Arabidopsis thaliana: one gene and its partner. The protein of the gene in region 1 interacts with the protein of each later gene in a pairwise test. Each region holds a gene or a part of one and is shown on either strand. Other genes may lie near its edges. The genes, in order: AT4G37850 and AT4G29930.

The links.
Region 2: the proteins of AT4G37850 (region 1) and AT4G29930 interact in a two-hybrid assay, tested with the Arabidopsis thaliana proteins (one study listed by BioGRID).

What each region holds. Positions count from the first base shown.
Region 1 is NC_003075.7:17,795,444-17,799,755, reverse strand, and holds AT4G37850 (basic helix-loop-helix (bHLH) DNA-binding superfamily protein), read left to right. Parts: upstream 1-1,854; 5' UTR 1,855-1,895; intron 1,896-2,051; exon of another isoform or gene 2,052-2,089; 5' UTR 2,090-2,108; coding exon 2,109-2,144; intron 2,145-2,251; coding exon 2,252-2,755; intron 2,756-2,853; coding exon 2,854-3,225; intron 3,226-3,319; coding exon 3,320-3,394; 3' UTR 3,395-3,684; downstream 3,685-4,312.
Region 2 is NC_003075.7:14,641,996-14,648,041, reverse strand, and holds AT4G29930 (basic helix-loop-helix (bHLH) DNA-binding superfamily protein), read right to left. Parts: upstream 4,049-6,046; 5' UTR 3,935-4,048; coding exon 3,855-3,934; intron 3,733-3,854; coding exon 3,567-3,732; intron 3,183-3,566; coding exon 2,925-3,182; coding exon of another isoform or gene 2,874-2,924; exon of another isoform or gene 2,825-2,873; coding exon 2,537-2,824; 3' UTR 683-2,536; downstream 1-682.

The DNA of each region.
Region 1 (4,312 bases):
TGATACCATATCAGGAATCTTCAATCTTCTGTAACAAACTCTTGAGAGAGAGAGTGAAAGAGAAAGAAGAAAAAGATAGAAACAAAATAATCGTCTATTTGTAAATGTGTACAATGTACTGTATATATACTCTATCACATTTTATACTATAGAGTAAAATATACTCATGATAATATTATAGTTAATTTAGTATTTAGATCTTGAGAAATGAAATACTATATAAAAATATAAAATTCGAGGGATTTAGTATTAAATTTTTATGGAGATTTGTAAAACACTGAATTTGGTTTGCAGGCGCCAAGATGCTTCTGTCATGGGGCGTAGTAATGGAGGAAAAGAGGGAGAGATCTAGTTGTAAGTGAACTGGCTTTTATTTCTATTTTAGTACTTAGATTATAATATCCCAAGTATATTTTGTTTACCTAGCTTACCATTTCTATGAAGTTCAACAATTCCGACAAATACTTGACTTAAAATATCAACTTTACATAAAAGAGTTTCATGTTTGATTGATTATTTTTACCTAATCGATTATATATTAAGAGTAGCACGTTTGCACAAGACACAAGACACATGAGTTCCAGGAAAGTAAAAATTATCTTAGTGTCGATCACTTGTAGTATAATGTTTGAATATTCTGATTGAATAAAATATAAACTTTTGTGATTTTGTTTGTTCATAATCGAACGTCTTTGACAGTCATGGTGATTCACACATTTAATCAAACTGTGTATAAAAGATGAGAGCTTTTAGAAGAGAACGCCAATGGTTAAATTCAAATCATACTTTAATCTTTTTTTTATTGTTGAATTTACAATTTTCTTGAAAAAAAGAAAATTCGTGGAAATAATTAATGTCGTAACCAATACCATATAATATACCATAAAATCGTAGCGAGATCTTTGGTTGGTGTCACATTTTTAGTTTACAAGAGAAAAGTATAAAACTAATGGGAATATGTATTAGATTATATTCAATTGGACCCACAATTTGATTATGGAAAGTTTCCTGTCATCTTCTGTCTATTTTTGCTTATCATAAGTTCGCTTATCATAAGAAATTTATGAAAATTAATCATGAATGCTTTCCTTTTATTGGTTCTTCAACAACATACATATTCAGATAGTGAGTGAAGGACACTTTAGTATAAATTACTTGACTATATATATAAGTTTATTACTCAGTAATAATAGCAGAATTTGAATACAAGCTTTCTATATACAAATGTTTTTACAATTGGCCAACAACATTTTGATGCGCGTCATAAGGTTTAATATTTTTATATGATGTTAGAAAATATTTTTTTGAACAGTTTTGATTTTTAATTGGTTTCATATTCGCATACCACACCTGATACATAAATTCATGTCAAATTTGGATGCATTTTGAAAAATGTATTTATGGAGAAACTAATATTTTTTTAAAAATAAAACCAAGGGAAACAAGATGAGTAAACATATATCAAAACAAAATAAAAATTGAGGCGATTTTTTTTGTTTCTAAGAAGAAACCCTAAAAATACACTTAATAATATAAACTCAAAAACCTGATATATTCAATAGACGAATACCCTTTTTGTCTCCGGCCCGCAACATTTTTATATTCATTCAAATAGGACCTCAAAATACTGTATACGTCAATGAGTAACTTTGAACAACCTGTGAAATTTGACAAATATAAAACAATCTATAATATAATTAATTAGTTTTGACACCCAAATGCTGTGAGAAAAAAGGAATATTTTTAGTGTGAAAGTTGAGTAGTATTGCCTTTCACACGTGCAAATTACTTCATATGTGTGTCCATCTCTATATATACATGTACATATATGCATGTGCATTCCACTGTTTTCACACACAAATCTCTCTTCTCTCTCTCTCTTCTCCTAGAAGCTGGTGAGTTTTATTTCTTTGTGATTCAAAAAACATAAATCTCAACCCTTACTAAATGTTTCTTGATCTTGGGTTTTTACTATACGTCAAATCTTGTATTTGAAACCCAAGATGATCTGCTAATTTATCTTTTTTCTTGGTTAAATACAGTTTCTTGTTTATAAATCATACACTAATATTCTTTTTACCATTTTCAGATTTTCAGAGGCAACAGCAATGAGTATCTTATCCACAAGATGGTTTTCTGAGCAGGTATATATGCGCATAAACACATACACTCATGTATATATGTTGTCATCTGGGACTGTTTTTCATTGTTTTTTGTTCTTTTTTCTTTTGGGTGTGATGTTATATTTTAGGAAATAGAAGAAAATAGCATAATTCAACAGTTTCACATGAACTCAATAGTGGGAGAGGTCCAAGAAGCTCAATACATTTTTCCACACTCTTTCACGACCAACAATGATCCCTCTTATGATGATTTGATCGAAATGAAACCACCAAAGATCCTTGAGACAACTTACATATCACCTTCTTCTCATCTTCCTCCAAATTCAAAGCCCCATCATATTCACCGTCATTCTTCCTCAAGAATTCTCTCTTTCGAAGATTATGGTTCAAATGATATGGAACACGAGTACTCTCCCACCTACCTAAACTCAATCTTTAGCCCAAAATTAGAGGCTCAAGTGCAACCACACCAGAAGAGTGATGAGTTTAATCGAAAAGGGACCAAGAGGGCTCAACCGTTTTCAAGAAACCAATCCAATGCTCAGGATCACATAATAGCCGAAAGAAAACGTAGAGAGAAGCTTACTCAAAGATTCGTAGCTCTTTCCGCTCTAGTTCCTGGCCTTAAAAAGGTATACATACCATCAGATCTTCCTTCTTGATTACCTTTTTCAAAAAAATACATGTTTTTGAATCTATAGGTGTAATTTTTTTCTAATTGCGTGCATAGATGGACAAGGCTTCTGTGTTGGGAGATGCATTAAAGCATATAAAGTATCTCCAAGAAAGAGTGGGAGAGTTGGAGGAACAGAAGAAAGAAAGAAGATTGGAATCAATGGTTCTTGTGAAGAAGTCTAAGCTGATCTTGGACGATAATAATCAATCATTCTCTTCTTCTTGTGAAGATGGCTTCTCGGACTTGGATCTTCCCGAGATCGAGGTAAGATTCTCGGATGAAGATGTTCTAATCAAGATCCTTTGCGAGAAGCAAAAGGGTCATCTTGCCAAGATTATGGCCGAGATTGAGAAACTTCATATCTTGATAACTAATTCAAGTGTATTGAATTTTGGACCAACTCTTGATATCACCATTATAGCTAAGGTATGCAAATGTATATTCAGGCATACACTTATACATATAAATGAAGAACTTGTTCTTAATTTTAGAGTAACATCGCTTGATGTTTATTTTTCAGAAGGAGAGTGATTTCGACATGACACTCATGGATGTTGTAAAGAGCTTAAGGTCTGCTTTGTCGAATTTCATATGATTGTATTAACTTTCATGCTTCTCGTCAATTTCTACTGTGGGAGATCTTGTTGAACACATGGACGAAACATAAGTGGTTTGCCATGAAAATGTTTTTTTTTTTTTATAAGTTTGATTGGAGGTTTTCTTATCTGTTAATTATCTATAATTCTATATATAAATAAGATTAAATTAGTTGAAAATTCACTTCTCTTTTTTTCTCTATTTGGTTCTTTCCCCCTTTATGTATTATATTGCTGTTTCCAAAGATGTAAAGCACTTCCGTTTATGTATTTGTATTATATGGTTTATATTTTGTAAGTCTGTTCAATCTTATACCAAATCACTAAAGTTTGTAGTAATAATTTTTTGGGAGGAGTTAGAGCAAGTTATTGGTGCACAAAAATTTAGAGCAATTTATATTGAATTTGATTGATTACTGTCATTATGAGTAAGAGTAATTTGAATTCAAAGTAACATATGGTAAATTAGCACTGTCAAATACAACAAAGTACCCAGTCCAAGACATTCTAGATTCAGAAAATCATAATAAAAAAAAAAATTATCACTTGGATAATCAAGGCAAGGAATGCGGCATGACGACCAAGTCTTTCCTTCCGTGTTAGAGAACAACAAGGATAATCATAGGATACTAACAAAGTTGGACAAATCGTGGATTCGGAAAGTGGATAACTATCCTTCTCTTTCTTTCAGCTATAATAAAAATATTATATCCGCAATGCGAAAAATGAACAATTATGGTTTCACATTTCACAAAACAATAGATAATATGTGTACATATGCATATATACAAACACTATATCCAGGTGCAAAACGTCTGAATCGTGTATATATAATATATATATTACATATTATTGCAACGGAACTAGACAAAAAAGGGTATTTATGATAATATGATCCAGTGAAGATTATGTGAATC
Region 2 (6,046 bases), 3.2 Mb from region 1:
AAGCTGAAAGATTTAGGTTCTTACAGATAGAGTAAGATTGGCAACTATATTTTTAGTTTCAACCAAGTAATAATCATAGAAAGATGATGGTTATAGAGAAAGCTTTTAGACCGAGTGTATATAGCGGTAAGAATAAATTGTTTACAAATCTGCAATTATCTGAACATAACTCCTTAACAAAGCCTACTGTCACTTTTATGAGTTTACTAAACATTTGTTGCCTAACTTTACAGATCAAATTGAAACAAATGGCAAGTCTCTCTATTTTGCAACTTACAATATGCATTTGATTCATGTTCATCAATTCAAAGACAAAGTATCCACAAAATCTTTTATAAAGTCATATTTGCTTTTTTAGTTTAACCATATTTCTTTATGTTTTTTTCTTCTTATACTCGGTTATGATTGCAATTAATTCAAATGATTTTTTTAGAAGTATAATTTTTAAGATTATAAGAAGGAACATGCATATTTTTGTTTTATTTTATTAGAAAACATCGGATGTTTTGTAGCTCAAACAAATAAACCCTCACAATAGTAGCTCTTCACATATATTGCATAAAACGGATTTAAGTAAAAAACCAGAAGTAAATTAGAAGTTGATAAGACAATTTGGATCATTATAAGCTGCGATGGCCATCTGTATCTTGGCCTCTACTGCACTGCTTTCTTCTTCATCCGCCTGCAAATTCAACGATTTACTATAATTAATACATCTATCACAATATAAACTAAAACAGTCCTATATTATTTCAATCATACGATATCTTTACAGAATTTTGAAGTAAATTAGGATTCTAGGAAGTCCAACGTCAGTATAGATTATTAAAATTAGGGGTGTTTAGGTTTTACACGAATCAGACAAAAAAAACTTCTTTTTTTTTGGCAGCACGTAAAAAGAAAATTAGAACTGATAAATTTGTGTATATACACCTGCACGCATTACTACTATAATTATTTCCCGTGGAAAATGAGATTGGTGGATAAATCATTGTTTAATGTTTTTGTATAATCTTTAAAAGGACGGATAAGGACAGGTTTGAAATGAAATGATCGACTTTTTATTTGATAAATGATTGGAGTATGATTTCACCAACTCTCAATGACTCCACTGGTCTATACCTCACTGTAATTTTAGCGTCTGATTATATTATCTTTTATCAAGAAAATGTTATAAAGGTGCATAATTCTTTTTTGTCAAAGAAAACCAACATAATATTATATTCATTTGTGAGGCAAGAAATACTCGTATTTGTTGTCATCAAAAATTTCCAACCTACAGCTTATAATATAATTACCTTTTTCAAAAAAAATAGAACGTTAGTTCACGAAACTAGCATTTTTGTAATTAGATTGTTTACACCAAAGTCCTAGTATATGATGATGATAAACAAATCAAATAGATAGAGATAATGAAATGAATTTGTATTTTTTAGAGTAAAAACACAAAATAATAACTCTTAACAAATCTGCTTATATTAAAAAGGACCAAACCTTAATTTCTACCATGAACTGCTATGGATATCATTTGGAGTAACTAATTTTTACCAAAATGATTAGCATAATGAAGACCTTATGAACCATATACAACTAGTTAACACAAATAACTTGCTAATTGGCTACAGTTGATTTGTAGCCTATTGTTAATTTGAGTTAAGAATTGATATAAGGTGTAGTGCTAGAAAAGTCACGTGCTAAAAGTGTGAAAGAGACAAACGTTGAACCGCGTGAGGTTATAAATTAGCCACGTTTTTCTAGTGCTACTATGCTTGGACGGCACTTTCTGGGACACGAGGCACTTGAGATTTCACACACTAATTTTTTGATTAAGTTAATCCTAATTTTTTATGGAATATGACATTTAACTTTTGAGAGAATCTAACCCTATCAGAAAAAGTCAAGGCGAAATTCGAAAAAAATGTGATGGGCTCGAGGCAACCTCAATAATTGGAGCTTTAATTGATTGATTAAGATATTACTGACTATATATACTTAAGGTGTAATGTGAATTAAGGTCCACTTAATGGAGACAGGTGGGAGAAAAGTAGTAATTAAATGGGTCCGTCTAAAGGTTATCCTTTTGAATTTGATAGTGATTTTCCAAACAATTCGTAAGTTTGAATTACATTTTTGTACTATTACGTAAAGATAACATATTTTCTTTACCAAAACAAAAGAACAATCCACTTTACTAAAGCACTTAGTCATATGCTTTTTATTCATATTATTAATTCTTGTCCACTAAAGGATTTGTCTACGTGCCGTCAGACGACCATTTTTCTCCCAAAATAACCAAAAAGAAAAGAAAATAGTAAGATTTGAATTTGGTATATAAAAGTCTGAATAGTTGCGACAAATTAAAAATGGACAAATATATTTGGTTGGTGTGTTTTATAGTCCGACAAGTGCATAAAACTAATTTTATAGCTGATTACAATTGATCTAACATTCTTTATTAGCAAGAATCTTCTAAACTATATTATCATCTCTTTCCATTAACATTTTATAATTTCGCTCCATGAGTGCAAAATGAGCGTCAAACCAAAACAAGACACGTACAGTATTCTCTAGATGCATTTAGAATTTTGTAGTTTGTACTAGTAATCACATTGCCAAATAAAGATATGAGAGAGGGAGAGAGGGAGAGAGTGACCTGGAGGAAGAGGGTGGTGGAGAGACGAGAGGTGAAGGAAGAGAAGTTAGTAGTGAGAATGTTGAGATTCAAAGACTCCAACACTTTACAAAGCTGCACCATTGTCTCTCTTTTCTTGCTACATGTTATGCATACCACTACCGTCTTCTCTCCCATCCATGTCACTTTCATCTGTTTTTTCATGTTTATATAAAAACAATTTGGAATAATTAACTTTACCTCAAAAGAAAGGTAATTTAGAATGTACTGCCAAATAATGCATAGTACGTACTTCGAGAACTTCAATGGGGTAGTGTTGTACTCTAGTACTGTAATCCATCTGCTTAAACTTTTTTGATCTCATGTCATTATTGTCTGAGAAATCTTGCAGATGAGTTTCCGCAAAATTGCAATCGTAATCTCTTACCGGATTTTCTAGCAATGTTGACCGTGATTCTAGCTCTCTGATCTCTGCTTCTAGAGTCTTCTCTTGATCAATAAGTTCTTGCATATAGTCGATAGAATCTTTGATGACAGATGCCTTGTCCAACTAAAAATAGATAAATATTAATACTTCAATAAAATCCAGTCTTAATCAACAAATCATCACACGTATACAATTATATGCTATCAGGGTAATTAGGGGACCAAAATACATTTTAGTATGGCTTGATATGGATTTAGAGTATCAAAAATTTGGTTTGCTTATTTGTTTAATGTTGGTTGGATTTGGTTTAACCAGATTGTATTTGTATAGTTTTATTTCTTTACAAAAGAAAGAAGAGAAAGTTTATTCGCTTATTTAATTTCTGTTGACCAAAACAAAAATTGCTGGTGACGAAACTTTATTACTAAATTATTTGGATAACAAATTAAATTTAAAAGAGACAGTTGATTAAACAAATAAGAGAAGTAATGGAATAATTAATCATACCTTGCTTATATTGGGAACAACTGACCGGAGAGCAAAAAGTCTCTGATTAAGCTTTTGCCGTCTGTTTCTCTCGGAGACAACGTTCTTCGAAGAAGCCGGCGACGTTGCCGCTCCGTCTGGCGAACTCGACTCGCCGGAACCCGAAAACGCTTCCTCCATCGGCCAACTTAAATTTTATAATTTATAACAATTTTCATTAATTACCAACTAAAGCAAGATTAATCTTTATCGGAAAAAAAAACTAAAGAAACAAAAAAAAAAAAAATGGACCAAGATTCTAGTAAGCACCTGTCAAATTCGAGTTCTTGATTCTGGAAGAACATTGTGGTTTCCCAGTAATTCTTGTACTCATGGTCGAGATCTTCCATTTTTCGGACACACAAAGATGATGCTTTCTTGAAATGGAAGGTTTTGTTATTTCTGTTTGTCCTTTCTTTCTTTCTTTGTGTCTTTCTATTGAGTGTACTATCAAAACAAGAGTGGGCCGAGGATTTTATACATAAAGAGTCTGACAGAGAGTTTTTAAGCACGTGGGATCTTAATCTCCTGAAATAATTATATACGATCTTGACCGTTCAATTCAGAGATCAAAATCTGTTTCCTTTTGTCCAATTGAAAAACAAAGAAAAGAGTGTATCGTATCTATCTCTTTCACTCACAATATGCATTATTCATATACTCAAATGGGTATAGACCGTATAGTACTTGAATTTAGGGCGTGTTCAATTCCAATTTCATTTTATTTTTGTGAGGTACTAGAAGAGTATCTGAGTATAAATGCAAAATTCTGTTCTTGTAGATATTAATCATTTGTTTTTCTTCTAATTTCGATCCTTAAAGTTAGAAGATGATGTCTAAGTAAGGAAAGAAGATACGTACTAGGTTTTTTTTAAACAAAAATAAAAGATACGTAGTTTCAGAATTCAAAGATTTAAACATAGGTAGACATCGTGGCTATGTGTATGCGTACGTAATGATTATGGCCAATAATGGTGATGATTAGTTGATTGTCAACTTTTTTTGCTAAATTTTATTGAAAATATAACCCACTTGGGTCCAGGATATTCTTTCATGTCCCTTGATTTGAATGCAGTAAATCTATGTTTTCTTCTATTATTTGTGGATATATATTTTCTTCTGATTTTTGAGTGTCTATATATTTATAAAATTCCATCTTCTTTAGATACTGTTATGAAATAAGTTGAGATATATGATTTTAACAAAGTAAGCTATAACCACGGACTTATCTAGCAATATTAAACACAAAATGTGACTGAAAAGCGAAATAATGTGGGGGTGATCCAAAATCTAAAGTATATAAAAATCAAATATCATAGACAGAAAATATTCATAGAATTAGATAATATAGCATATGCAATTTTATTCTACTGAATTGTAACTAAAGAAATATTGATTATTTAATGGTGTCAACTGAATTAAAAGTTGTGAAACGATTCGTAAAACTCTATTTATGATGGTGGAAATATTTTTTTCAATGGTTATGTATCATACATTTGAGTTCTCAGTTCTTTCAAGAATTTGTAAAACGTGGAAAGACATCAAGAAAACTGAAGACGGTCACTAAATCATACAACATACACATACTAAACAATACAACTAGTTCCACATTAATCCATTATACTCAAACTAAATCTAGTATCTATCTTATGAACTAAAAAAAAATCTAGTGTCTATCAATATGGAAAGGTTTTTACTTATATCGGCTTTGCTCCATACCCCGTGATTTTATTCAGAACTTTTAATCTGGATTAGAAATCCGAAAATACTGAGTTTGAGAAACAAATCGAAAAAAGTAAAAACTGTTTTCTCAAATCATTCGTCTCTCACTTACTAAACTCTTGAGAAAATGTGTAGGAAAAAGTTGTATTTTAATTGTATGAAATGAACAGTGTTTCGTTCCTTATGATATTGTTTTCACATTACTAAAGTCGTGGCTTGGATGGCCCAACATGATCTTGGTGATCAAAGATGATTATAATAAAATTATTTGCTAAATAAAATTATTTAACGTACTTATGTATGCTACCACGTGTATGGAGGATAGTGTATGATATGACTTGATATGGTTTTGGTTAAGAATTCATTAAAAGTCTTAATATTTAATTTATTTTGTATGCATAATCGTATTTCCTTTTGTTTATTAGGCTAATTAAAAGCTGTTCTATCTATAATCTTTGGAAGATTCATAAATTTTGATGACTCACCCACCTTGCAATTGCAAATGTATGGAATTGATTATATTGGGTCCAAATGACAACTAAACATTCCCAATATTGTCGGAGTCTAATTCTTTCGTTTCTTATTAAATATGAGGAAGTGTTTCTAGAAGAGTAAGAAGAAAATCGCAGTTCAATTTTGAAATCTACTTTTGTAGTAGAAAGCTGTATAAACAACATCCGTTCACGTTAGCTAGAATACGAAAAAATGTAACGAGTATTGAAACTCCGGTTCAATCTTAC